2 linked regions of the Styela clava genome follow. The protein of the gene in region 2 interacts with the protein of the main gene of each other region in a pairwise test. Links are inferred from orthologs where the notes say so. Each region holds a gene or a part of one and is shown on either strand. Other genes may lie near its edges.

Region 1 (12,644 bases), about 3.5 Mb from region 2:
GAACAAAATTAGTTACCTCCATATTGGTGCACATATTTCTGGAGCGCCATTCAACTTTATGAATCTGAGAGGGACAAGTTTTTATTATTATTGCTCATCTTAAGCAATATCCCCGAATCAGCTCATTTGAACACTGGTGCTCCCATAGCATGTGAACCAAGATGGCAGACACCAGAACATAGTATGTGTGCTAAGTTAGGGTTAGGCCATAATTTTATTCCAAATTCCCCCCATTCGAGTTCTATTACAAGTTCGGGAACTAGCCAAGTGACTTCCGTAGTATTTGTACCTGAAATTATGACCCAACCCTAACCAGGTACACATACTACGTTCCGGTGTGCGCCATCTTGGTTCACATATTACGGGAGTACCTCAACACCTACCTCGCCAAGAACTTTCCTCCTCTACTGTCATAGACTTCCAAACTGGCTGCAGAGTTTTGAATAAACCAATTCGTAAGCTGAATCTGGAGCGGTTGATCCGACACAGATTCACGAACTAAGATCGTCCAGGCGCAATTAAATACCGAGGTTGGATATTTTGGTGACGTTAAAAACGTGTAGGAATTGATGACGAGGTCTCCGTTACATCTTGGTGCTGTTAAAAATAGAATAAAATATGGCTGGATGAGACTTCGAGTTGGAAAAGCTAATAAAACATATAAGAATACTATAGCTCGGTGGTGGTAAATCATGCCAATCGTTAGTAATATGCTTGCAATTACACTTTGATTACCCTGCATGGGTTAGCAGGATCGAATCTCACTAAGGATAGTTATATGCTAACTGACTTCTGGACTCCTCATCACTATAGGGTGGCTTACGTAACCGCTGGTCAGTTGAGACTTCAACCATCAAGCCCATGTATCTGAGAAAATGCGAACCCATGCAAGATAACCAGCAGTGTGATATTCATGATAATTATGGCTGTCCAAATCGAATATATTTTGATTCAAATCAAATTGAATATTTTTCTTGAATCGAATCAAATAATCGAATATTATTGCACAATCCTAAATCTATCTCCATTGTACAAGAGGACCCATCCGTTGATATTGTGATAATGATAATCATGAAAATTTCGCATGCATTTTGAGCCGCATAAATATGTTTTTTAATATTATTGTACAATCCTAAATCAGTCTCTACTGTACAATAACCTTGATGATATTGAGATATAATCATAAAAATTTTGCATGCATTTTGAGCCACACAAATTTGTTTTTTAAAAAATTTCCTGGAAGCAAGATAATGCACACCCACTCAGAAATAAGGAGTCTAATTTCAAAATAATATCACTAAGTAGTTATCGAAAAAAAATTGATATCAATATAGAAAAACACACTCAAATTTAGGCCAAGATAGACTTAAAAATAATCAGAATCAGCCATAAAAAAATCATCTCTATTGTGAAAGTATTCAAGCAAGACATAGAAAAGACAACATTTTGTTGGTTTGCTTATAGTCAAGTCAGATTCATTTTTTCCAGCAGTAAAAAAGTCAGTTTTACACAAAATACGAAGAAAAAAGAAAATCATAAATTCTGACTGGGGAAGGGAAGTCGCTAACCAAAGCTTGATATCGAGTGGCGACACCTAATGATCTAATTAGAATGATCGAGAAGTATAGTTCCGTAACTATTTTTTTTGTTAAGAGTATAGCTTTTATATTGTATAGACAATTATTCTCATTCAGGGATAGATAAATATAGATAAAACACTAACAGTCTATACAATTACCTGCATCGTATATCAGTTCAATATTAGACTGTCTTAACATGAATTCTCTGTGAACCCAAATCCATACAATATCAGAGCTTGATACAAAGGGTGGAGGTGACTTTGAGCCGCAGTATCTTTTCTGCTGAGGTTGAGGAGAATCTGTTGATAGAATATTTTTTGAAATTTTTCAATGATAAATATACTAAATTATGATTTAGGAATTTCACTATTGGAGGTATAAATGAAGTTTCTTTAGAATTTCAATTTTGTTATTAAGTCAGTTCTCAATATATCTCAACCAGGTTTATTGTTATTTAATCAGTAATTATTTTTACTTCATTTAATGCATCTGTGAAAAAAATAAACAATATATGGTATCGATAAATTCACTTTGCATTTTTAAAAAATTTCAAGACTTTATGAACACGGTAGAACACCCTATATATTATGAGAAAAACAACTTCGTTTTGATAATTACCGGTAGATTCAGGTGTCTGTGTTGTCTTATAATAAAACAGTCAAAAATAATCAATATTGGATTTTTTTCATGTTGCAAGCAGTACTTATGAATAATAATTTATTAAATTGAGAATTAAATAATAATTTTTTATTCTGTTTGCATTTAATTTACAATGAACCAAAAACTAAAAATTACTAGTTAGTTAGTTACTAATAGAACGTTTTACAAATACATTTGTAAGCACTTGCTTTATATCAACCTGCTATGATATATTAAGTCGGTAAAAATCAGTTGTGAGTTTGCGTCAAAACTGATCGACTATCAACCAATCGTATGTGACAAAACACCTACTTGTTAAGACACATCACATAACAAAAACGTATGAGAAAATAACCTTATGAGAAATATATTCTCCTCTTAACAACATTTGTAATAATTTGTTTCAACGACCCTTCTATTAAGATCTATCATACAATAAGATCTTTGTACCTTTCGGTGTTCCAATCTCCAGAAAGTTGGAGCAGTTTCCATTCTCATCTTCGAAACCAAAATTAAAATCCAGAAATCTGAAACAAAATATTAACTTCAATATATGCTCCAGAAGTGTGTGTACCGATATGAAGGTAACTAATGCTGTTCGCCTACTTTACATCAAGTTGTATAAAAGGATGAAACCTATGAGCAAGGGATATATTCACTCGGCTAACACAGACAGTCCCCAAACTCGTAATAGAACTAAAATAAGGGAAATCGGAATAAAATTATGGCCTAGCCCTAACCTGGTACACACACTACGGAAGTAGCATATGATCTACATAGAGCAGTACTCAGAAGTGAAAAAGCTTTGTTCAAACATCTTCCAGAGAACATTTTTTCATTCTTGTGCGATGATATAAATTACACTAATTGCTCACCTTACAGATAATGTAGAGTGATCTTCACTAACTATATATAAACAGAAATCTCTAGATCTGTAAATATCATCCTTGAAATTATATTCCCCGCTTATATCTGTTAATGTCTTTGTAGATGAACAAACAGCTAAAAATAGAAAATTAGGAATTTGTATAAAGATCGGCGTGTAAATATTTATCTCGGTATAGATTTGGCAGATAATCAAATCCGTTGTGAAAGATTTTAAATGATTTAAGATGTAACAAAAAAAGGTCAATAAATATATTATTCTTAGTTTGTGTGCATGAAATAGGAAGAATAAGATTTATTCATTTATCCCGAGAAAGAGGGAAGCCGATGAAACAGCTCAATCATATGGTGAACCACGGCGCCTCGTCCGGTTACAGGAACCACCCTACAGCAGCGAGGAGTCCAGCAATACTCTCGCTGGTAACTATTCCCGCATGGGATTAGAACCAGCGAACCCACGCAGGATAATCAGAGGTGCTGTGGCGAATTTTTAACGCTTAGCATGAGGTGCCAAATTGCTGGTGAATATGAATTTCCAAGAATATGCTGAAAAGGACTGCAAACACGAATGAAGATCAATCGCTAGCTCTTCTAGAAATAAGAAATACGCCTCGTCAAGACTTGAACAGCAGTCCATCAAAGCTATGTTTGGTCGATCAACCAAATCGATTAAACCTTAAATTCCCAAACAAAAACTAAAATTCAAAACGCCCATCCAGACCTCGTCCAAATCGTAAACCTTCTATTTGGATGAAAGACTATGTAACTTAGTAATGACTTTAACTTGAATTTGAGTGTTAAATAGTATTGCTCATTAATGTGCCTTAATTGTAATAGTCATGAATTATGTAATAGGTAAAGGTGAATATTTCATATTTGAAATTAATTTGTGAAATTGATCTTAAACAAAGAGGGATGTTGATGATGACTAATAATGCCTTGTGGAATAACGTCCCCAGTAATTGATTGTGCTATCTGTCTAGTGTTAACGTGTCGCAGTTGCGCCACTCGATAGTTTGTTGTTGATGTATGCGTCTTATGTCGTGTGTTATGCTGGTGTAATAAAGATATATAAGCATATTCAGTTGAACCCTTATTCAATAATAGCGTGGGTGTAGAACTTAACATATAACCAAGACATTAACAAGTTAAAAGCCTGATGGAGCATTCAGCACATTTGTATCATCTACTGCATGTTCTTAAACCACATTGAGCGCCATACTTACGATAATTTGGAAGTGATGGTTCGGAAATCCACTGTGATAAAGCTTCTGTAAAGTAAGATATTGAAAGGATTAAAAACAAATATCAAGAGTTATTATCATTTATTGTGAAAAAGAAATTTTCAATAGCATGACTAAATAACTAGCAGTTAATTGGCTCCAGGTGTATGGGTCTAAGTGCAACATGTAATTGTTTATCATAGTTAAATTTCATAACTTCGAAGCTTGATGAATCAGTAGGAATATTTGGCAACAAAAGTAGATGCAATGTGGGACTCTACAGCACCAATTTATAAGGATATCTTGATATAGCCATAATTAGAAGCCAGACAGAGAGCCAGAGCAGGGCCAAGCTTATCGCAACAGACAGTACGGCACACTATACAGATCGAGCGACATTGTCTCGTTTCAGAGAAACCCATTTTACCGATGATCAGTCACCCCTCCTTTGGGAGACGTCTGGACATTGTTGTCCCTCAATATCAGTAAAAATACAGTATAATGAAGTTGCGCAAAATACTACGAAGAAGCGCAATCTAAAAATGTCATCATTAAATTCTTCTGGAAAAAATAACCCGATTTACCTAAGGAAAAATTTTTTTACCGTGGTATTTGAAAGTTTTCAGGAAAAAACAGCAATTTTGGTCACATGATGGCCACGATTAATCAAGATTATTATTGAGACAAGCATGGCGCAATATGACTCATATGCCGTCGTGCCAGACGCCCCTCATTTGTGAGACACCTGGGAGTGTTTGTTTTATTGAACTAAATGGAGGGAAACTCTTGGAATTTAGATAGTGTGCCGTACTGACATATGGTTTTTTGATATGTCAATCCCAACCCCCCATATGACTACGCCATCCAAAAATTATGTCACTACGACATCACAATCATGTCATAGAGCTTGCCAAATATACACACGATTGACCAAAATGGCACTGGCGCCGACGATAAAGAACTGACTGATGTTATCGATCTCTCTACTATTGGAATCATTGAGACGAGAAAACGAGAGAAATAACTGTTTGATTTCGCAAGTGCAGTTTTAAGTATTCTGTGGCATCTGCAGCTGCCGCAAAACCATGGCGGTATTTCCATACCATGGCCGCTACGGCCAAACTCATGGCAACTGACTTTTTAGCTGCCACAAACCAATGTCGAGCTGCCGTTACCGCGGCAGCAAATTGAAAATCAATGGCAGGTAAAATTTTGCTGCCGTAACCGCGGCAGGTGGGCCGTAAAGACAGGGCTGTCTATTATTGTGACAAATATTGGGTAAGTTGGAACGTTTTTCTTATGGATACAGTTTTGATTGATTTGGGGTTAGGGTTAGGGTTTAAGTAGATATAATTCCACATGATCAATTAAAATCTGGTACATTAATTTGTGAATATACCGTTAATACTGATTACTGAATACTGAATAGCGCTATAAAACCATGGCAAGAGCTGCCGCGGTTCGTTCGTGGCAGGAGCTGCCATGAAGTGGTAAGAACTGCGCCTCTGATTTCGGGTGCTCGTTTGCGCGTCTTGGGTGGCAGTTCCTATAGGTTGAAGGGTTCTACTATGTCACTGTGACGTCGTAATGACGTAATTCTAGAATGGTGTAGTCAGGTGGGTGTTAGGATTGATACGTGAAAAAATTGTCATGCTACGCCGACTAGAAGTACGGTATGTTAGGTACGAAACTACATGAGACCCAAATGCACTGGTCTGTCAGACCATAGCCAGTCTGTAGTTTCCCTTTCCTACATCAAAATTAAGAGAAAACAAATTTGACTTTTCTAATAAACAACATAAAAACTTACTTTTTCCGAGTAATATCATAAATAATAAAATATGAAGTGTTGATACATCCCTCATGATTTTCCCATAAACGAGCCTTTGCCTTTGACTGTCAATTCTTTCTTTCTCTGTTCTGACTCATATGACGTCAGAGGGAAGAGGAGTTCCCCAAAGTTTACAGTGAAGAAAGAGTCTCAGTGTACTTCGCTTTTGGATTAAATTTATAAATATTACAATATTGAATATACTCCTATTACATTGCTGTTTCGATAAACGTAAACGTAAGTTAAATGATGTCGCATTGATAAGTGATATCAGCTGATTAGTGACGTCATAAATCATTGCAGATGTGATGTGAGTTTATGTTCTTCATTGAAATGCAAATTTTCATTTAATCCATACAAAGAAAAACTATATTTATAAAACAAAAATTTGTAAGGAAATATTTGCTTATTTTATTGGGGTATTAAAAGTATTTATGAAAAGATAGGCAACAAAGAATTTATGCTAGGTATTGAACACATTGACTCCGTGCACTATCATAAGTGTTACTAGCGACAACTTGCGGACAAGTTATTCATGAAATGCTGATATTTACCAGACGCTAGGTGGAAGTCGAGTGTCGCAAATTTTCGTTGAATTTTGCGATACGGCGCTGGTGTTTTGCGTTTTCATCATCGATTTTGTTCTTGATCGGAAAATGCTAAATTCTGGGAAGTTGTTCTTGTTGACTATCTTTATAAGCGCTTTGACATTCTGCCTGTCTAATAATTCTTCAGAAGAACCGGTAAACCCATATTCGCCGTTAATACAGTGCTATCTTCTCCCCGACGAATTTATTGAGTGCGACTTGCCCTCGGTTTTTCCAGAGAATAAAACAGACGTAGAAGACGACGTTGGCTGCGAGGTTCAAGATTTTGGAAGACAAAGATATCCAGAAGTCAAAACTACTAGCGTTTACTGCCGCGTACTTGACGATACAATCGACTGTGCTGGTGATCGCACTTTCAAAAAGTCAGGAATTCCTTGTATAAGATATACAGGGTACTGTTTTGTAAGCACATTACTTTATTCGGTTTTCCTTGGATGTTTAGGGGTTGATCGATTTTGCCTGGGACATTCAGGAACTGCAGTTGCCAAACTTTTGACACTAGGTGGTGTTGGTATTTGGTGGTTTGTTGATATTATTTTACTCCTTTCTGGAAAACTTTTACCGAACGATAAATCAAATTGGTGTGAATATTATTAACAAAAATGTCTGTTGATCCAGATGAACAAAAGTCACTTTCAGAACTTTTTTATGAGGCTTTTCAAATTCACACCGACATTGAAAACACTTCCGAGCCCACAAACTCAGAAGCGAATCAGATTTCAATAAAACGAGGGATTAAGTTATCACAAATTGTTCAAAGTCGAACTGATGAGCTTCGATTGTTTAGCACTAATGAAGAAGTCGGTGAAATATCATCAATAAATCTAAAGTATTTACTTTCACCCTCTATTTGCGGCGTTTTAACATCTCTCGTACAAACCGCCAGAGAAGAAAGAAAATCTTTATTAATTTCCGCTGAGAAACTCATTTTCCAATTTCTTGATAGGTGTAAGGATTATAATATTGGCCCCATAAAAGACATAGAAAGATGCTTAAATGTAGACGATTCAAAAACTGTTAAAAATAATCCTCGCGATTTAGCGTCAATGAATGCTGAAAGAGAAGCAAAAATAGCGAAATTTAAAAGAAACAAAGAGCTTGAATCAAGGTTGAAACATCTGAAATCATCGTTGCCAGAAAATGACTCAGAATCAAGCAATGTTGATGACGAAACTTTACGTAATTACTGGTTAGCGGTAATTGAAAAATGGATTGATATTTCTATTGAAAATATCGGAAATATTTCACAAGAAAAGGAAATTTTAAGTTTTTGGGAAAATATGCCGGATAAAAATAATCCTCCCGTTCCTGCCCCATCGACTTCACGAAACAATAAAAAGCCACAAAACTTCATTCTCACAAGAGACAAAGCACAAGCTGCTGTATTCGGGGCTGGATACCCCAGTTTACCTTCTATGACTGTAGAACAGTATTTTGAGTCCCACGTAGCCGCTGGTACTCTACCAGATCAAGGCATAGGACCAAGTTCGGGGGCAAATGGGCAACAAAATGGAGAAAACTCATCGGATGATGAAAGTGACGACAAGTTGAAAAAGCAAAGAGAATTCGATGATTGGAAAGATACTCACAGAAGAGGGGATGGTAATAGAATGAACATGGGATGAAGTACAATTACATGAACTTATAAACTGTTTTGCGCTGTAATTTGTTATTGTCACAACAGCTCCTCACACTCTAGTGACCCCATGTAACTTCGCTCAGAGATAAATGTCCTGAGAGTGTTATTGATTTAAGCAAATTTCACTATAATCAAAAGAAAAAATGATTGATCTATACTAGTGCTTACTAACCTATGTTTTGTGGCCCCCTTACGGATGGTTTTAGCACTCATGGCCTCTCTGTTTATCCTTCCAGTGATATTTATAGTGTTATTTTGATTGGTGGATTTCAAATCCCATTATGTTCAGAAAACACCCTGCAAAATAACCTTATCAAGTAATGAAACTAGGAAGAACGGGGAATTTTTTAAAAGGAAAATCAGTTTCGCGCCTATCATTGTGGCCCGTCACTAACTGCTTTGTGGCCCCCTTGGGGAGCTGTTGGCCCCAGGTTGGGAACTACAGATCTGTTCTTTTGGCTATATCTTCATTAGATATCAAAGTTTGGGCATCAAATTGGCATGCATTTCAACATTATTTCATTGGACTTATAACAGTTAAAATTTCGTTGCATAGCTAGGTTTTGAGTATTTTTTATGGCGTTTTTATACGACTTTGAACAAGGCTTCGTACAAGCGGCCACTGTTATGCCAAGACCTACTATATTTTGAGAGAATCTTCATGGTTCGACACTGCCTGCAAAAAACAGCAGACTTTCAGATTCTCACGGCGGTGGCTCACGTAAATTAGTGAAAAATCCTGCTATTCAAATATACATGAACTTGTATATTTTGAGCAAATCAAGTAAATTTGGGAAAATCAGATATTGTTCACCTTAAATACAAAATTTTGATACATTTAAAATGAATTAAAAAATGTTTGTGTTCTTCAGATACATGGAATTACTATAAATGTATACCGGTCAGTGCTCTGTATACTTTCTTCATACAAAAAAATTTCAGTTGTCAATATTTTTCAATGAAATATTACGGTAACAATTTTAAATTGCATCAGATAATTTTGTTCAATATATTTAGTTCAATGTAATTTCAGACTTTATTGAAATTGTGTATTTTAAAACTTCAGACAATCAAAACTATGATTTATCGTAATTTACATAGTGCCACAAAAACTGAACCTTATTTATCTACGAAAATGAAGAATATTCATTAATTAAAACACTTGAAATTTTATTTCTGTATGATTGTACCCAGAAGTTCCAGTAATCTAAGACATTTTGCACAAAAGTTATGTTTTCTCTAGAATGTTTCAAATGACCTGGATTTTGTTTTTTTGAGTCACCTTGTAATAATGACATCTGTTTATTACTTATCGATTTTAATCGGTAAGTATGTTGATGGCTATTTGTCTGTCTGTTAGATGCACGCGATATCTCACCAAAGCGAGATTGAATCTGCTCCAGATTTTGCATGTGCATTCATCATATCTCGGACCAAAAGCCTATTGATTTTGGACGAATTATATCGTATAATTAGCGAGTTATTAACTAATTAGTGATGGGACACAGGGCGTCACTATGGAGTAAGAGCGCTGTTTTGGGGATCCCCTAACTTTCGATCGTCTCTGACCGATAGTCTCGTTAGGTTCTTTTCTATCAAAACTCACAGTAGAATACTCTGGAATATATTTTGTTTGAATACCATTTCCAATGAACTTGACACGTTGTTTTGTACAGATTTAGTCGTTTTTTTCGCAATGCTCTTCCACCAAGCAGCCACTGAACTGATATCTAACGATACGTTGGGAGCTACTATTATTCAAAAGGTTGAAATCTTCAAGTTTATGAACCAGACGTCTGTTATCTTCGATGCCAATCCAACCACTATGCTCCACCGTGCTCCCAAGTTCGACCGTGTCCACTTCATTAAGACAAACTATTTTGTATATTATCATTGACCTAAGTTCCCGTAATGTTTCGTTATCAATTCTGTGGAAACACTAAATCATTATTCCTTGTAATTCTTTCAACTGTACTGTACTGCTGATTTTTTATGTTCCATAGACATAACTAGTTATCTGATAATTGATGGAACTGGATGAATTACAACGATGGATTGAACATTTATATAACAAAGTAAAAGAATACAAAGAACGTGCGGAATACCAAGCATATGTTTTAGGTGAGGTTACATTGTTTTTTGTTCTTTATTAGGATGGGATGAAAATTTTCTTTCCAGGGGGGGAGAGAAGACTGCTTATTCATAAGATATACCACAGCCTCCTATCCAGTTCAATGTTGGGTGGAGCATTAATTAGCCAGTTATTTGTTTCAGATTCATGAACGGAAGTGTAGTGGTGGGGTGTGCAACCTGCATCCCGCCAAATGAGTTTTTAATATATAGTTTATCTGGTACATGCGATTAATGTCAATCCCTTCGCGTTGCAAATCCTATACCCTGAGTCCAATTTATTATCTATTTGTATGACATTACACTGCTCTAACAGCTAGCGAAGCGAACACACATGTCATGAGATCAATAACCAAAATTTTTATGCTTGCAACTACTAGAAAGCCTATAAAATAAATAATGGTGCGGCATGCAGTTTCACCCACTTATTTGTATCTGACCCCCTGTATGGAAGGTTGCACACCCCTGGTATGCTTGACCAAAGTAATGTTGAATATACAAGGCGTTAATAAAGCCCTGTATTAAATTAGGCAAAAGGACTCGCTCGGAACCAGCCTGCTATCATTTGGATGACTGGAACTTTACCGATTCAACATTGCCTACCCCTTGGGTGAGGTGATGAGCCTTAGATTCGAACAGAACCATGTCTTCATAGTTACCTAAGTCTAACACTCCCACCACTCGACTATCATGTCCGATGTCTCCACACACAATGACTTCTCACAAGATTCGAACTAAGAACCCACGCAGAATATTTATTGAGTGGTTCGATAGCATGTAGCGTCTCTATAGCACAGTGGTTCTCAAACTTTTTGAGCCACGCCCCTTTTTAGAATTTCTCAAATCTCGTGCCCCACCTCAAAAATAACTAGCTACAAATAACAGTTAGTAAGGCGAGAAATTGTTTTACCCAAACAGAGGATCAAATTAAACAAATAATTTTATTTTTAATTAGCTTCACGCCGCCTCAAAAAATTGTCTGTTGTAATTTTTTGTTAAATGTTGATGAATTTCAGATGTTTAACCAAGATATTCTATTTCAGATGAGATTTCTCAACCATGGCCTTTCAGTTCTGCTCCTAAATCCGCACAAGATGGTTACAAACAATCAATTGAACAACGGAAAGAAAACGAAGAAAAAATATCAAAAGTTGCAAACTTTGATAAAGAACTTGAAAACGTAGAAGACATATTACAAAAGGCTAGATTATTGCATGAAAAAGTCAACGAAAAACCTGCAACGAAGACGCAAAAAATTAAAGAAAATGAAACAAAAAAAGTGAATAGTGCTCTACCTCAAAAATCCGATCCCAAAAAAGGCTTAATAAAGAGTGAAAGATTATCTAGTACCTCAAATAAAACGAAAATCGTGCCAAATTTAAGCAGAAACTCTAAAATTTTGCCAAATAAAGCATCGTCAAAAATTTCCAATCCTCCATTTTATACAAAACCCACAAGAGGCAGAATCAGATCAGCTGGATACCAAAGAGGACAAAATAAACCTACAGTTAAGCCAAACTCGAATAAATCTACAACCGTTTCAAAAAGTTTGGAATTATTGAAGCAAATAAAGGTGCAAACTACACAAGTAACAACAAATGATGAAAATATTTCTAAAACAGAAGATAAAAAAATTTCTCCGCCCTTATCAGAGCATAATAATCCACCAGTCGTGAAAAATGTTGAAATAGACTTTACCAAGGTCAAATTAAAATACAGAGACTTTGCTAATGACCTTGAACTACCTCACAAGGTCAGAAAATTGTTATCGACTCATGAAAAACTTTGCGATCAAGCGTGTGATGCCTTACATGAAACTGAATGTAAGGAAGAAACAAATTTTGTTAAAAATATGGCGTCCTCGGCAGGTGACACAACACTCGATGGCACTGTAACTCTGCGGACATTAGAAGCGGTAAATTCAGAATTGGACAAGTGTATAGCAGTTTCCACTAATGCAATAAATATTTTAAAATATCAAAGCGAATACCAGCCACTTGGTAGAAACTCTAAGCTAAGATGGAGCGAACAGCAAAATACTTATTTGAGATCAGAATCTGTTAAAATAGTAGAGGAAGTATACTACCATTTGTGGGAAAAAGTAAGATA
Region 2 (13,580 bases):
AAGGTCGTTCTCCTATAGAAATAATATAGTTGTAAAATAATAACGAGTGAAAACCAAAGATCAACAATGGTCAAAATGAATATCAATCACTCTGAATACATTCTAAAACAGGGGTGTGCAACATTTTTCGTCAGTGTCGTCATTTTTCAGACATCTAGCTGGACCACACAAAAAATTTAGCGGGAGAGCAAGAAGAGAGAATGCGGCTATAGCTTAGACTTCCAGTAATAAAGACACCGGGCAAAACAACGAAAGATTCAACGCAGCGACAAGAGCAAAAAACGCTATCTATGTTTGTTACTCATGGGAGTACCTTTTAAAGCATAAACTGTCGAATTGGGATTTTATGGTTGATGGAGATAAATCTGAGTGTGACCACACAGCCAACACTAAATAACTTGGAGATCCAGGTTGTTGCCTGTTGCACACCGCTATTATAAAGCAATGCCTTTGAATAAGGAATATATTTGGAAATGGGTCATAAGCCATAACAAATTAGCGATTACGTGCACCACCCTATGACAGTGTGAGAAGTCCAGCAAACGTCTTGCACATTATCATCTTCCACAGGAATCGAAACCATGCAGGGTAATCTCAAGAGCATTTCACTCTTCACTCTGGATTACGCCGATTAAATAACCACCTACCTGCTGATGTAGTGCACTCGTTAAAGCCTGATTCTCATTCCTGATCGCATCCAATGACATCTGCAAATTAAGGTTTGCATCCTGAAGTTGCTCGTTGAGTTTCCTCGTGTCATCGTAAGATTGCAAACAAGATTTCACTGATGCCGACTCTGTTTGTCGTTGGTGTCGGAGTCTGTAGGAAATGATAGAATAAAAATTATTTGTGTGAAATTTTGCACAAAGCAAGCTCATGTATCGCCCTAAACCAGTTTGCATGTATTATAAAACCAATTTTTATTGTGAATCAATCTTAATAAAGTGAATTTGTTTTCAATTTCTTGCGATTTGTAATCATAAAAAAGTAGTATGCTGTGAGTTTTATTAGTTCGGGAACCTCTTAAACAACATATCAATCAATATTTTTTTTTTACTTTGTCTCAAAAGTTTGTGGCGAACATATTTAATAAAAACCATACTTGTCTAGCTGTTGCATTGTATCACGACACATTCTCACAGCGTCCTCCTTCTCAGCACTCGCCAATTCTACCTGTCGTTGAAGATTCTCAAGCATTTCATTACCTTGGCCTTGCGGGTGATCTGAACAAATGCAAAAAAAAATTTTTTTTTTAATCTTCATGGGCTTTAGTGCAGGGTTACCCAAACTGGCCCAACTCTTTCTCAAGCATTTCATTGCCCTGGCCTTGTGGGTGATCTGAAAAGACGGCAAAAATTGAATTTGTGCATTCTTCATACACTATAAGGAAGGCCTGTGCAAGTTGTGTACCACAAACTTTGACTTTACTTAGTCCAGCCCACGACTGCATTTTTAATTTGCGATGTAGACCCATAGCAAAGATAATTACCCAGCTCTGCTCAAGAGGAAGGTTACTCAAACTGGCCCCAACCCCTCTCTAGGGGCCACAGAGTAGATTTATGGGAGCTAGGAGCAATGATCTTTGCTAAATATCATTACCAGTGCAGTGCCTACATCTATTTGTTAAAGTAAATTTACAGTGATGGTATAATTATTCTTGCTTTCGTTTGTTGGTTTTTTTTGTATTAAATATTTCGCGTTAAATAACTTACGACCATTTACTACAACCTCATTGATTTGAAGAAATTTACTGTGATTCATTTGATTTTTTGACTGCAATGCTTTTATTATTTTGCTTTCGGTTGTCTTCATTATTAAACATGACGAGCAAAGCATAACTAGATATTTTTTTTTTGAAGAGCAGAAGTGAGTGGCAGAGGGATTTAAAAACAACTACACTAGATCTCCATGCTCACCTGTATAATCAGCTTCTTTCATTTGTTGTTGAACAATTTCCTGCAATTCTGCATGAAGACGTTGATTTTCTTCGGAGACAGACTGAAAAATAACTGAAGTTATCAGGGATGGCCAAAACCGTAGAAAGTCGTAGAAATCAAATTTGTTAAAGCAGAATGGTAGAGGTAACATTGTTCTAATTAGTATTATCTATTTTATTCCTTGAGGATTTAACTAATTTTCCGTCAATTGTAAAAAAATAAATGCTAAAATATTTCCAATGAAAATATTCTAAATTCTTCATAAAGTCAAAAAGTAAACTGAATATAACCAATTTTGAATGTTTTGAAATAATCAATTGATTCTGGACATACCTAATTAAGTCCCAGTAAAAATGTAAGCATGCTCAATATAAAACCTACATAACACACTCCCATGCAAACACACATGAAGACACGTACACATATAAAAACACACACCTGCAATCGCAATTTCCTTTCATGGTTTTCATCTTTTATCTTCGTAACTTGGGACACGAGATGTGTTAGATGAGTGTCATATTCGTTCAGTAACGGAGCCAAATGTTGTGGGTTCGTCAGCCAAGGTGCCGGAGGGTCAATGGACGCTTCTGCATCTAACTGTAAAGAAAATAAGGGATCAGATTCGCATAAAGATGTTCGAGACGTATTGAAAAATTTTAATATTGTTCATATTGGAAATCCATCTCTAAATTTAAATCATATTCTTTTGAAACTTGTCCTTCCAAAATAAATCTCAGTCATCACTTGTAAGCTCTCAAATCTACTGCCAGTGTAACAAAACAGGCAAAGAACAATTATGTCCAAGAGTATTTTCCAAGGCGTATTCCTATGTTACTTCAAACTAATGATAGGAACGTTCAACATTTAATGGACAAACAACTGACATGTGTTTTCGTTTATGCTAATTACTATAAAACAAACACCGTACGATAATTTTTGTTGTTATGCATTAACAGTGCGGTCGTTCAAGAGCTACAAATAATTGTTTGTGGGCCGCATTTGGCCCCAGTTTGCCCACCACTATTCTGACCCTACAATTCCACAATTTGATGTATGGTGTTTCTGTCAGGCGACCTACCAGGCTATGGTCTGTTCCTTGGTGTTTTGCAAGAGCAGAGTTCAATCTCTGGACCATTTGCCGTAAAAAGACAAGTTCTTCAACGGGGTCGGTCACCTGTGATGTCATTCTGCACTTTTCGAAATATTCCAATCGGAAAAATCAAAGTGTTCCCTTTTGCAATATTTTGATTACCGGTAATAATTGAGTGTTCCAGTTGTCAAAAATTTCCTTTCGAAATAGTCTAGCTAGCTTTTAAACTTCTCATTTTAGACATCTATATTTAAAAGAAAACATACAAATTTTCAATTGGCATAAATTACACTTTATAATACATAAAATAACAGGCCTAAATTAGGGGAAATTGTGGCAGAATCCTTCACGGTTGAGTGAACAGAATACTGCAGAATATGGTCCTGGTACAGATCATAAATTATTCAATATTATGCTGTAAAAACCTCTGCAGTTGATCATTACAAAGCCTTCGAGTATTATTATAAGTTGGGGGTCCCGCCCTTTAGGGTTATAGCTGCCAGGTCAGTCATGTTAAACTGTTCAAATAGGTCTGATTGATATGAACATTACAAATTGAGGGCATAGCATAAAATTATATTATCACATCACAAAGAAATAAGCACTGCGATTATGAAGCGACAATAAATTTCCTAAAAGAAAATTGTGAGGTCAACAATACTAAAGCAAATTGAAATGACAGCACAAAAACACTCAAGCATGAAAAGAATTCTCCAAGCAAAAAAATAATGTAAGAATTGAAAATAAAGTTTCAAGGAATGAAAAGACATTTATGGCCTCCATGAAAAGGGCCCACTCGAGACTTCATTTTGCGCAGCGATTTCCATGTCTTTCTCTCTGAACACGGCCATGTGCACACAGCCATTGAAACATACTTATCCTAGGATAAAACTGTCCACAAAAGTACCCTTTGTATGAAGGGAATACTTTTGGGTTATTTCAGTACTGATAGAGATTTCTTACATCCCGGAGGAGGTGGTGGATATGGAATGTTAAACTTTAACTTCCCATCACCAACAAAAAATGTCGCACACCCCTGGACCACGAGTTCATATAATTCAGAGATTTCACTGAGAAATGGAGTTAAAAAAGTTCTGAACACATGAATAAAACAGAAAAATAGCCTCTTAGATACAGAAACAATTATAATTTTCGCAACGTTAATTCAACAAACTAGATTTCACATTTCAAACTCGGCAGATAAGAAGTGCCTTTCAAAAAATGATGGATTGATATTTCGAGACTCATTGAAATTTATTGTGACACACAGTTTATTAAGAAGTACAATTCAAAGCAGCTGTAAAATAAGAATACCATGGTATACTAAAATAAATGAGGACACAAATCCGCATGGATAACCTTCTTCTCAATTAGGGAGTTGAAGAATATAAAAGGAAACTGATCAGGCGACAACAGAATAGTGGGTCGGTGTAGTTTAGTATCACAAGTACTTCTGGTGGGCTTGTCATAACCATTTTTGCATCTGTTATTCCTAACCCCTACCTGACTATGTCATTCAAAAATTATGTCACTAAAAAATTAGTTCCAAAATGGCATCGGCGCTGACTATAAAGAACTCACTAACACCAGTGATCTCTATCATATTCGGAGATGAGCAAAATAGATTGCTAGACTTCAGGTAATAGTTAACGCGTTTTGGACGACCATCCGTATATTTTGGTGGACCTTATTACGTCACTGTGAAGTCGTAGTGATGTAATTTTTGAAAGACGTGGTCAGGTGGGCTTTAGGAATGTCATTTGAAAAAATTGTTATGCTACACCCACTAGAAGTTATTGTGGAACAACAGCAGAATAGAATACAGAGACTCAGAATAGCAATCAAGAACAAACCCATAAGTTATTATTCCATTAGATTCACCATGTACTCAATCAGAGACTTGAGGAGATAAAAGTTTTGAACAAGTGAATAAAACAATAGAATATTATCTCAGAGAAAATAGTCCGCTTGCGGTTTCTTCATCGGAACTCCTCTTGCCTCTTGTGGTGCGGCTTCGAATATTGTAAATTCTTTCTGTAAATGTTCGTCAAGTTCCAAAATGGCAGCTACGTTTCCGCAGCGGTAGCAGTAGTTCGGAGCCGACCAGACAGTTAAAACGGTTTCGTTGAAATGCCATTTATACCCTTCCATTACGAGCTGATGAGCACGGCAGATCATATCAATATCATTGGATTGATTAAACAACGAAACAACGTCGCTTCCGAAAAGATATCCAGCTCCTCGTGGACTGACACCCCACCCGGTGGTGTCTTCTGGATCTGACCATAGTAGATCGCACATTGGGCCATCGTGTGGTACTTCTTGTTTGCGATCGATAGTACGAATCTGGTCTAGAGTTTGGATTGATGGAGATAACCCACCATGGACGCAAAAGATTTTTCCATCGATAATCGCGGACAAACTTAAGTAGTCGAAAATTTCAGTACAATAGCGCCAAACAGTGATCGATCCATATTTTCTTAAACATTCATCGTAAAAACCATAAACCTGGGTGATCTGTCGACTTTCATGGTTTCCTCGAATCAGGACAATACGATCTGGATAACGGACTTTCAAAGCCAATAGAAGTAAAAACGTCTCAACACTGTAGAAACCTCTGTCCACAAAATCACCGAGAAATAGATAATTCGTGTTCGGAACATCCCCACCGACTTTAAAAAGCTCTTTTAAATCATAAAACTGACCGTGAATATCTCCGCACACGGTTACCGGTGAATCCACCCTCTGAACATTGCTTTCTTCGACTAAAATTTCACGCGCTTTGGCGCATAAAGCTTTTACTTCGCTTTCTTTAATAATTTCACATCTTTGAAGTTGCTCTATTTGTCTATCTAGGTCGCTAGTATCAGACATTTTCACAAATTTAACAAACCGAATTCTGTTTCACACAAAAAACGAACGTCAACGCTCAAACGAAAATCCAAGAAGGATTACGAAAAGGAACAAAAGCTTTTTTCTCACGCATCAGTGATTTTGGATTTAGTAAAAAAAAAACGTTTTTTAAGAATAAGAATCGAAATATTTATTCAAATTAATTTAATTTGTTTAATTTTATTAAAGAATAAATTATGAAAAAGATTACAAAAGCGTTTTTCATTCAGGAATCAGAAATTTCAAAGTTATAGAAAAAAAATATTTTCCTATGCGAAATGTTCATTACAAATTAATTTAGTTTGTTTAGTTTTTTTTTTAAAAATTACTCAAAGCTTGTCCAGGCGCATCTTCCTCTAATATAGAGTGGACTTGCCTCTGAGAAATGTTACATGCCATCAATGATAGCCACTAATAGCCACTAAAAATCATATAGAACTACGATGGTGCAATGCCAAACCTCGGTGAACAAAGATTGATGCGAGATTCGAATAAGATATATATTTTTCTGAACTATGGTACAAAAATAAAATTGCAACAGACAAGACAAATAAACAAGACAGCAATTTAGTAAAGTTACCAAAATTTGTTTTCGAGTAAGTGAACTGTCGGTGGGTGAACGCGTGCTTGTGCGTTTCAAAACATCATTCCAAATTACAGCAGTTTTCTGACTTGTTATGCATTTGGTATTTGTACTTATACGTAGTAGTATATATTTACGCTTACACAAAAAATTTTGCGACATTTTTCGCTTCGAATAAGGCCCTGTACAAGCATCCACTGATATGCAACAAGTTGCTATACCTTTGAAGACCGAAATTTTTCGCCCTTTAAAAGAAGAGACCAATCTAGAAAGATTAATGCAAAAATAAATACAATTCAAACGTGCAAGACAATGGGAAAATCGAGAATACGCAAATGCAGGGTTAGAACTTCAAGATTTATTCAAGCGTCAGTGCGGTCACCGGTCATTGTCCATTCGAGCACTATAAAACCCATTAATTTACTGACCTGTATTAATCATGGACATTCTTTATAACTTTCGTAAATTCATGTCCTTGCAAAAACAATTTTATTGCTGCTGCTATTTAATTGATGACTATTTTATAAGTTGACGAAATAAGAAATCTCTCCCTCTCGTCGACACTTCAGCAATCTCGCTGCTTATCGTTTTCCCTCCCATAGGTGTAGATGCGCGCTTGTGGCGCTGCTATATTTGAGCCTTCCTATCTCGTTCATTGGAACACGCGTGCAAATCATTACCCGTCAGAACCAATCGGCGGTTTGGCGCATTGTGCTAAGCGTTAGGAATACGCCGGCCACTGCATCTCTGATTACCTTTCGTGGGTTCGAATCCCATGTGGGGATGATCATGTGCGAGAGGATTGCTGGACTCCATGCCGCCTTAGGGTGGTTCACGTAACCACTGGTTGTTTAAGGCTTCGTCCACCATCAATTCCATGCTTCCGAAAACAAATAACTGGCTAACTAATCCCATACCCGACCTGGACTGGTGACCGGATGAGAGGCCGTGGTTCGCCACATGATTAAGCCGTCTTATCAGCTTTTCTCTCCCCCGGGATAAATATGTAAATCCCAACACTGAAACTCCACCTCAGCAGTTGCACATAAAGATCATGGTGCACACATACCTTTTTCAATATTTATTACAACTGTACCTACGAACAATGATTTATACAGAAAAAATACCAGTGTCACGAAAAAGATGGATATCGATAAAATAAAAACGAGAATATCGGTTGGAAACCGAAGACTTATCGATCTATAGTTAGGGGATCCCCCGAAACAGAAACTGCAGTTTCGATTCATCCGCTCTTGTAACTTGCGCACTGCGCATCGCACACACACACTCGGCGGGTTTCAAAATTCTCTCGCTTTACAAAAATCTAGATCACTATATCAATAATTGATTGATAACTCGCTAATTATACGACATAATTCGCCCAAAATCAATAGGCTTCTGGTCCGAGATAAGATGAATGCACATGCAAAATCTGGAGCAGATTCAATCTCGCTTTCGTGAGATATCGCGTGCATCTAACAGACACACAGACAGACATACATACAGACAAATACCTATCAATATACTTACCGATCTTAAGATCGATAAGTAATGAGTGGACTTACAAAAAGATTGGTCATTACTCCATTAAACACTTCTACATACGTAACTTTCCAAGGAGGGGGAATTTTTGTCTACTCAATTTTTCATTCCAAAAAATAAAGATAAGACTTATCATCCATGTGTGTCCCATCACTAATTAATTAATAACTCGCTAATTATACGACATAATTCATCCAAAATCGATAAGCTTTGGATCCGAGATATGATGAATGCATATGCAAAATTTGGAGCGGATTCATCCTCGCTTTCGTGAGATATAGCGTGTATCTAACAGACAAACACCTATCAACATACTTACCGATCTTAAGATCGACAAGTAACAACAATTCCTAACTTGATCAAAAAATATATAGTGACATGGAAACTGGAAAAGGTCCAAAAATAGTGCAATTTAAGTATGGTGACTAGAATAAACGTGACAACTAAAAACTAGGCAACATCACAAAACCATAACATACAAATTAGATTAAAAGCATATCAATTGCATGATTAGGTGCAGAAGCCAGGAGTTGAGGTATTTACAGTGAGCTCTGGAATTTAGTGAACCAGTAATTACCATGATAAAAACATAAATTGTAAGTGGAGAAATATGAAATAATTGCAATTCAGAGTTCAAGGAGACGCAGTAAAACAGTACCAATTATTGAGCAGCGACAGTAATAAAGAAGTTGAACATTAAATTATTGAGGCAGTTCCAGTTGTGCACAGATTAAATTAAAATGGGTTTGTATTGCTACTTAACGATTTTTTACACGAAAAACAAATCAAAAACACTCAAAGAGTTGAAACTAATGACAGTTTTACACAAAATAAAAGTAAAAGCTTTTACCATTGAAAAGTTGGTTCAATAGCTGGAATATTTTTTTTGTATAACAACAACATAATAAAGTGACAGCACATTTGAACCCATACATTCGCACCAGTATATCCACGGGTTCAATCTATATGCGGGAGCTAAATCCATGGGTTAGGGTTAGTATGGGTTCAAATATGTATGTATGTATGTTTATTTGCCTCAAAAATGTAACAGTATCTGCATAATAATTAAACAGTAAAACAGAGACGAGATACATGTTCAAGACCTTCCTGGCCTAAGACACAGATGTGCGACATGTACCCCTAACAATGATAACAGCAGTTTAGGACTGCTGCGTTATACTAGGACAACAGACATGAAATATACAAATAACACTCTAGTAAAATACACAAGACAAATAGGTAAGGCACAACGGTGATATGTACAATAGTCAGTTTATGGCACGTCCATATCCCAGGTTCCAGTGTGAAAAGATGGAGATAGGGTATGGGTCGCTGAATTGATATGTTTTTACACTAAGTCTCACGAAACACGTAAAGATTTGTTCGGGATATAAACTTGCCAGAAACCAACGTTGGATGGGGCCATGACATGAGAAAAGATTTGTAAAAGATAAATGTAGAAAACCTTTGTTTAAACTTGAGTTGTTTATCATAGTTTGCACTGAGAACAATAGAGAGTCTGGCATAAAATGCGGCCACTTTCATAAGCGCTATTGTGTGAAATTATATCCGAAGGTGTAATTTCCATAGGTGCAATAGTATGCAGGTGCAATTGTCGTGGGTTCAAATGTAATGGAACCCATAATAACAAAGCGATCCATAGGTGCAATACAAAGAACCATGTCTCTGGAATATCAAAAACACTAAAAAAACAGCACCAAACTATGTTTTGAGTTTTAGGCTGTTTAATATGACAAAAACCCGATTTTGGGAAAACCTTGAAAAAAAAATTTCTTTCTCAATGTACGTGTCAAAACTTAACAGGAAATCTAGCAAAAAAGATGAAAATGCAAAAATTTTTTTTGTACCGGTAATATAGATCAATCAGAACCAAACATTTTATTAAAATTCGGGAGTATTGAATCAGATGTGAGTGTAGCATGAAAGTTACATTTCAAATACAAAATTTACGGTTTTATAAAAAAGAAAGTGGAAAACAATGCGCCTCTTGCCAAAACTCAACAAATTCCTTGAGGTATATTTTAGCTATAACATCAGATTCCGATATTTACTTTTCATCATGCAAGATTCAATATAAAGCAAAAGAAAAACACAGTAAACTAAAAAAACGAAACATTGATTCATAGCAATTAACATGGGATCGCGAAAGACTCAGTGAGTCATCCAGTGAGCGACATGCTGTAATATAGCAGCAAATATAGCAATCTCATAAAAAAATTATCTCTAAATCACACAATCATGGGAAAACAACACCACAATAAATTGACAACAGGAACAGCCATATGATTCTTCCAAAATTAGATAGCCTATTAGCGACATCATGTCATTTATATACGCATCACTGAATACAAACACATCAAAATAATGCTGATTTCAAAATTTGAGTTTGGCTGTGGCAGCAACGGCCAGCTCTAGACTCCAATGATAGTGTCTATGTTATTACCCCGAAGAAGGCCTCAGATAAGCAGCCATGAGGCTGCTATTTTGTTTTTGCTCTGAACAATGTTTTAGTTCTCAGATACTAATGGCGTTACTACTACAATTTTTTTTTATCTTTTTCCATTCCTACACAGTAAGATTAAGAGATGATCGTTAACATGCAAAAGCAAGATGACAATTACTAGCTCATGGCACCTTCGAACCCTTTAATTTCTTTCATCCCTTTGGTATCAGCTAATATTGTGCCATATTTGACTCTGGTAATAACATTCTAGCAGGTATTCGGAACGTAGATTGTACAGCATTGGCCATATCTCTTCGCCCATGGCATCTTTCAATAAAAGCACCAGGTTAATAATACTGATGCTAGTGGATATGTGTATACTGCAAGGATGCTGTCACCGGAATAAACATGACTATCCAATTAAAAGTCCAGCTGCACACTAACACAAATGTACTTCTGTAACGTTTCGTCTGACCAAAGTTAGACTTCCTCAGACAAGCAGTTTACAACAATCAATTTCTCATCACTTGACATAACTTAGCGCCACAATCCTTGGATCGTTTTCATTTGGAAGAACTTTGAATCTGCATTGGGAGCCATTGTGTTTCAAGAGTTGATATCTGTGCATAAATGACTCAGGACATTTTTTACATTTGTAATGTCTTTCACCTGTATGCAGTCTCAAATGCATATCACGACTGCTTGAATGAGCGAATCTGTCCCCACATATGTCACATTCAAATGGTTTTTCTTTTGTGTGAGTTCGCATATGAACAGCTACCATGATTTTGGATCGAAACTTACGGCCGCATTTTTTGCATGGAAATTTCTTTTCGCCTTTGTGCATATATAGGTGACTAGCAAGTGTTTGACTGCGAGCAAAAGTTTTCGCACATATTTCACACTTATAGTCTCTTTTTCCCAAATGTACGCCAATTATGTGTTGTTTTAACGAGTTTGGATACCCATACTCTGCTTCACAGATCGTGCATTTGTATCGTTTTTCTCCTGTGTGAACAATGTAATGTCGTTTTAAGTTTTGTTCTAGTTTAAAACCGCGTCCACATGTCTCACATTTGTGAGGAGTTTCATTCGTGTGAACTAACATATGTCGTGCTAGAGATGATTCGTCCCGAAAAGATTTAGAGCAAATCAAACAGGCAAATGTTGGCTGTGTTTCACTTGGGTGATTTTTTCTTTTATGGTATGTATATGCTATTGCATATTTGAAATCCATGCCACAATCCTTACATTTAAAAGGACGCTCACCTGTGTGTACGCGTGTATGGTTAACGAGAAATGCTTTATATGCAAAAGCTCTCCCACAATATTTACATTTGTATGGTTTTTCTCCGCTATGTACTCTCATATGGAGTTTCAAATGTGCATTAATAATGAAGTTCTTTCCGCAAATATCACAAACAAATCGGCGAATGTTATAATGAACCAGTAGATGGTGAGAAAGTGCTATTTTCATTAAGTAAGCTTTATTGCACCCCTCAATGTGGCACTTATACTTACGCAGGTTTGAGTGAGTGTCCATATGGACTTTCAAAGCACTTAGAAAGAGAAATGTCTTGTCACAAATGGTACATTTATGCTTTTTATTGTTTTCATGCACAGCTCGTTTGTGAGCTTTCAACGTAGATATCTCTTTGTATTCCTTATCACATAAATCACATTTTACTCTTATCTCTGAGTGCATGATTCGCATATGTTTTCTTAAGCTGTTCTTAGTTGTAACTTTGGCGCCACATATATCACACGAATATGGTTTTCCTTTCGTGTGTGTCCATGAATGCTTCCTTAAGCTGCATTCTGTCTCGTAAATTTTGCCACAAACTTCGCAACCATGTTCTGATTCATTTCCTACAAGAACAGATTCTCTTTCTTCGTTCGTTATCTTTTTTGTTGTTTTTTGATTCCTGTTACCATTAGATACGGTCAGTGTTGCCACATTATCATTACTCCCTCCTGTACCAGAATTTTGCCCCTTCTTTTGCTTCTCAATTTTAACATCTTTCCCTTTCTGTGATTGTGTTACATTGACTTGAACATAATTTTTGTCACTTGTAGAATCATTTTTTACTTGAATAAAATCATTTCCAGAAATATTCAATTTTCTAATTTTAACCCTTGGCTTGTTTCGGAAGCATTCAAGAGCAAGTTCAACAAGTTTTGGATCCATTTTTAAGATGGTCGTTTCACTTTTAGACTTTGATAGATAGATAGTTTATTTTGAAAACACCATAATATATAGGCCTACACTAATAAAAATGGAGAATTCTTGAGAGAAAGCGAAACCTGTAAAAAGTTGGAAACATGTGAAATATCATGTTCCCGCTCACACACACACACAAAAAATCACAAACCTATTATTAAAACGAGATATAACCGAAGACTTATCGATCGAAGGTTAGGGGATCCCTCAAAACAGCGCTCTCACTCCATAGTGACACCGTGTGTCCCATCACTAATTAATAAATAACTTACCAATTATACGACATAATTCATCGAAAATCAATAGGATTTTGATCCGAGCTATGATGGATGCACATGCAAAATTTGGAGCAGATTCAACCTCGCTTTCGTGAGATATCGTGTGTATCTAACAGACAGACAGACAAATACCTATCAACATACTCACCAATCTTAAGATCGATAAGTAACAAGGCTTGGGCCAGAAATAAACAAACAAAAATTATACAAATGTTTCAAACTTCCGGCTGTTGAACTCTGATAAAGACAAGAAACTTCCTACCATTGGTTCTAACATGAAATAAACATTTTGATAGACAGTTTCAACAACAGTTGTCCTTATATTTGTATAATCTTTTTTCACTGCAAAGAAGGCTCTAAGCACTGAAGCAAGCTTCCACTGATTTGTGATATCTGAAACATCTTATAAACTCTCCAGTTATGGAGATTAGCTTAAGCCCCAATCCCTTACACCCGCATGTAACATTCAGACATTGATATAATTTCAGAATTTGTTGTTTCTAAATCATGTAAAAATATTACTGGTTTAAGTCATCTTCAAATTTGAATCTCATTCCTACAAACGAAAATGGT

What was found.
Region 1: the proteins of serine/threonine-protein phosphatase 4 catalytic subunit (region 2) and immunoglobulin-binding protein 1-like interact in binary tests that used the Caenorhabditis elegans proteins (3 or more experiments, as listed by UniProt). The link is inferred for Styela clava from reciprocal best matches to the Caenorhabditis elegans genes pph-4.1 and ppfr-4.

What each region holds. Positions count from the first base shown.
Region 1 is NC_135262.1:4,191,731-4,204,374, forward strand, and holds immunoglobulin-binding protein 1-like, read left to right. Parts: upstream 1-7,368; coding exon 7,369-8,391; 3' UTR 8,392-10,414; downstream 10,415-12,644. Other genes in the region: uncharacterized protein LOC120332508, read right to left, coding at 384-597, 1,739-1,879, 2,670-2,746, 3,095-3,221, 4,331-4,375, 6,138-6,192; TM2 domain-containing protein 2-like, read left to right, coding at 6,815-7,363; uncharacterized protein LOC120332522, read left to right, coding at 10,433-10,526, 11,579-12,644. UniProt on the Caenorhabditis elegans protein: Probable regulatory subunit of serine/threonine-protein phosphatase PP4 which may play a role in meiosis and embryonic mitosis.
Region 2 is NC_135262.1:727,907-741,486, forward strand, and holds serine/threonine-protein phosphatase 4 catalytic subunit, read right to left. Parts: upstream 5,983-13,580; 5' UTR 5,902-5,982; coding exon 4,978-5,901; 3' UTR 3,271-4,977; downstream 1-3,270. Other genes in the region: sodium channel and clathrin linker 1-like, read right to left, coding at 1-12, 648-819, 1,103-1,223, 1,917-1,998, 2,376-2,534, 3,016-3,123; uncharacterized protein LOC120332814, read right to left, coding at 11,032-12,696. UniProt on the Caenorhabditis elegans protein: Protein phosphatase which plays an essential role in meiosis and in early embryonic mitosis.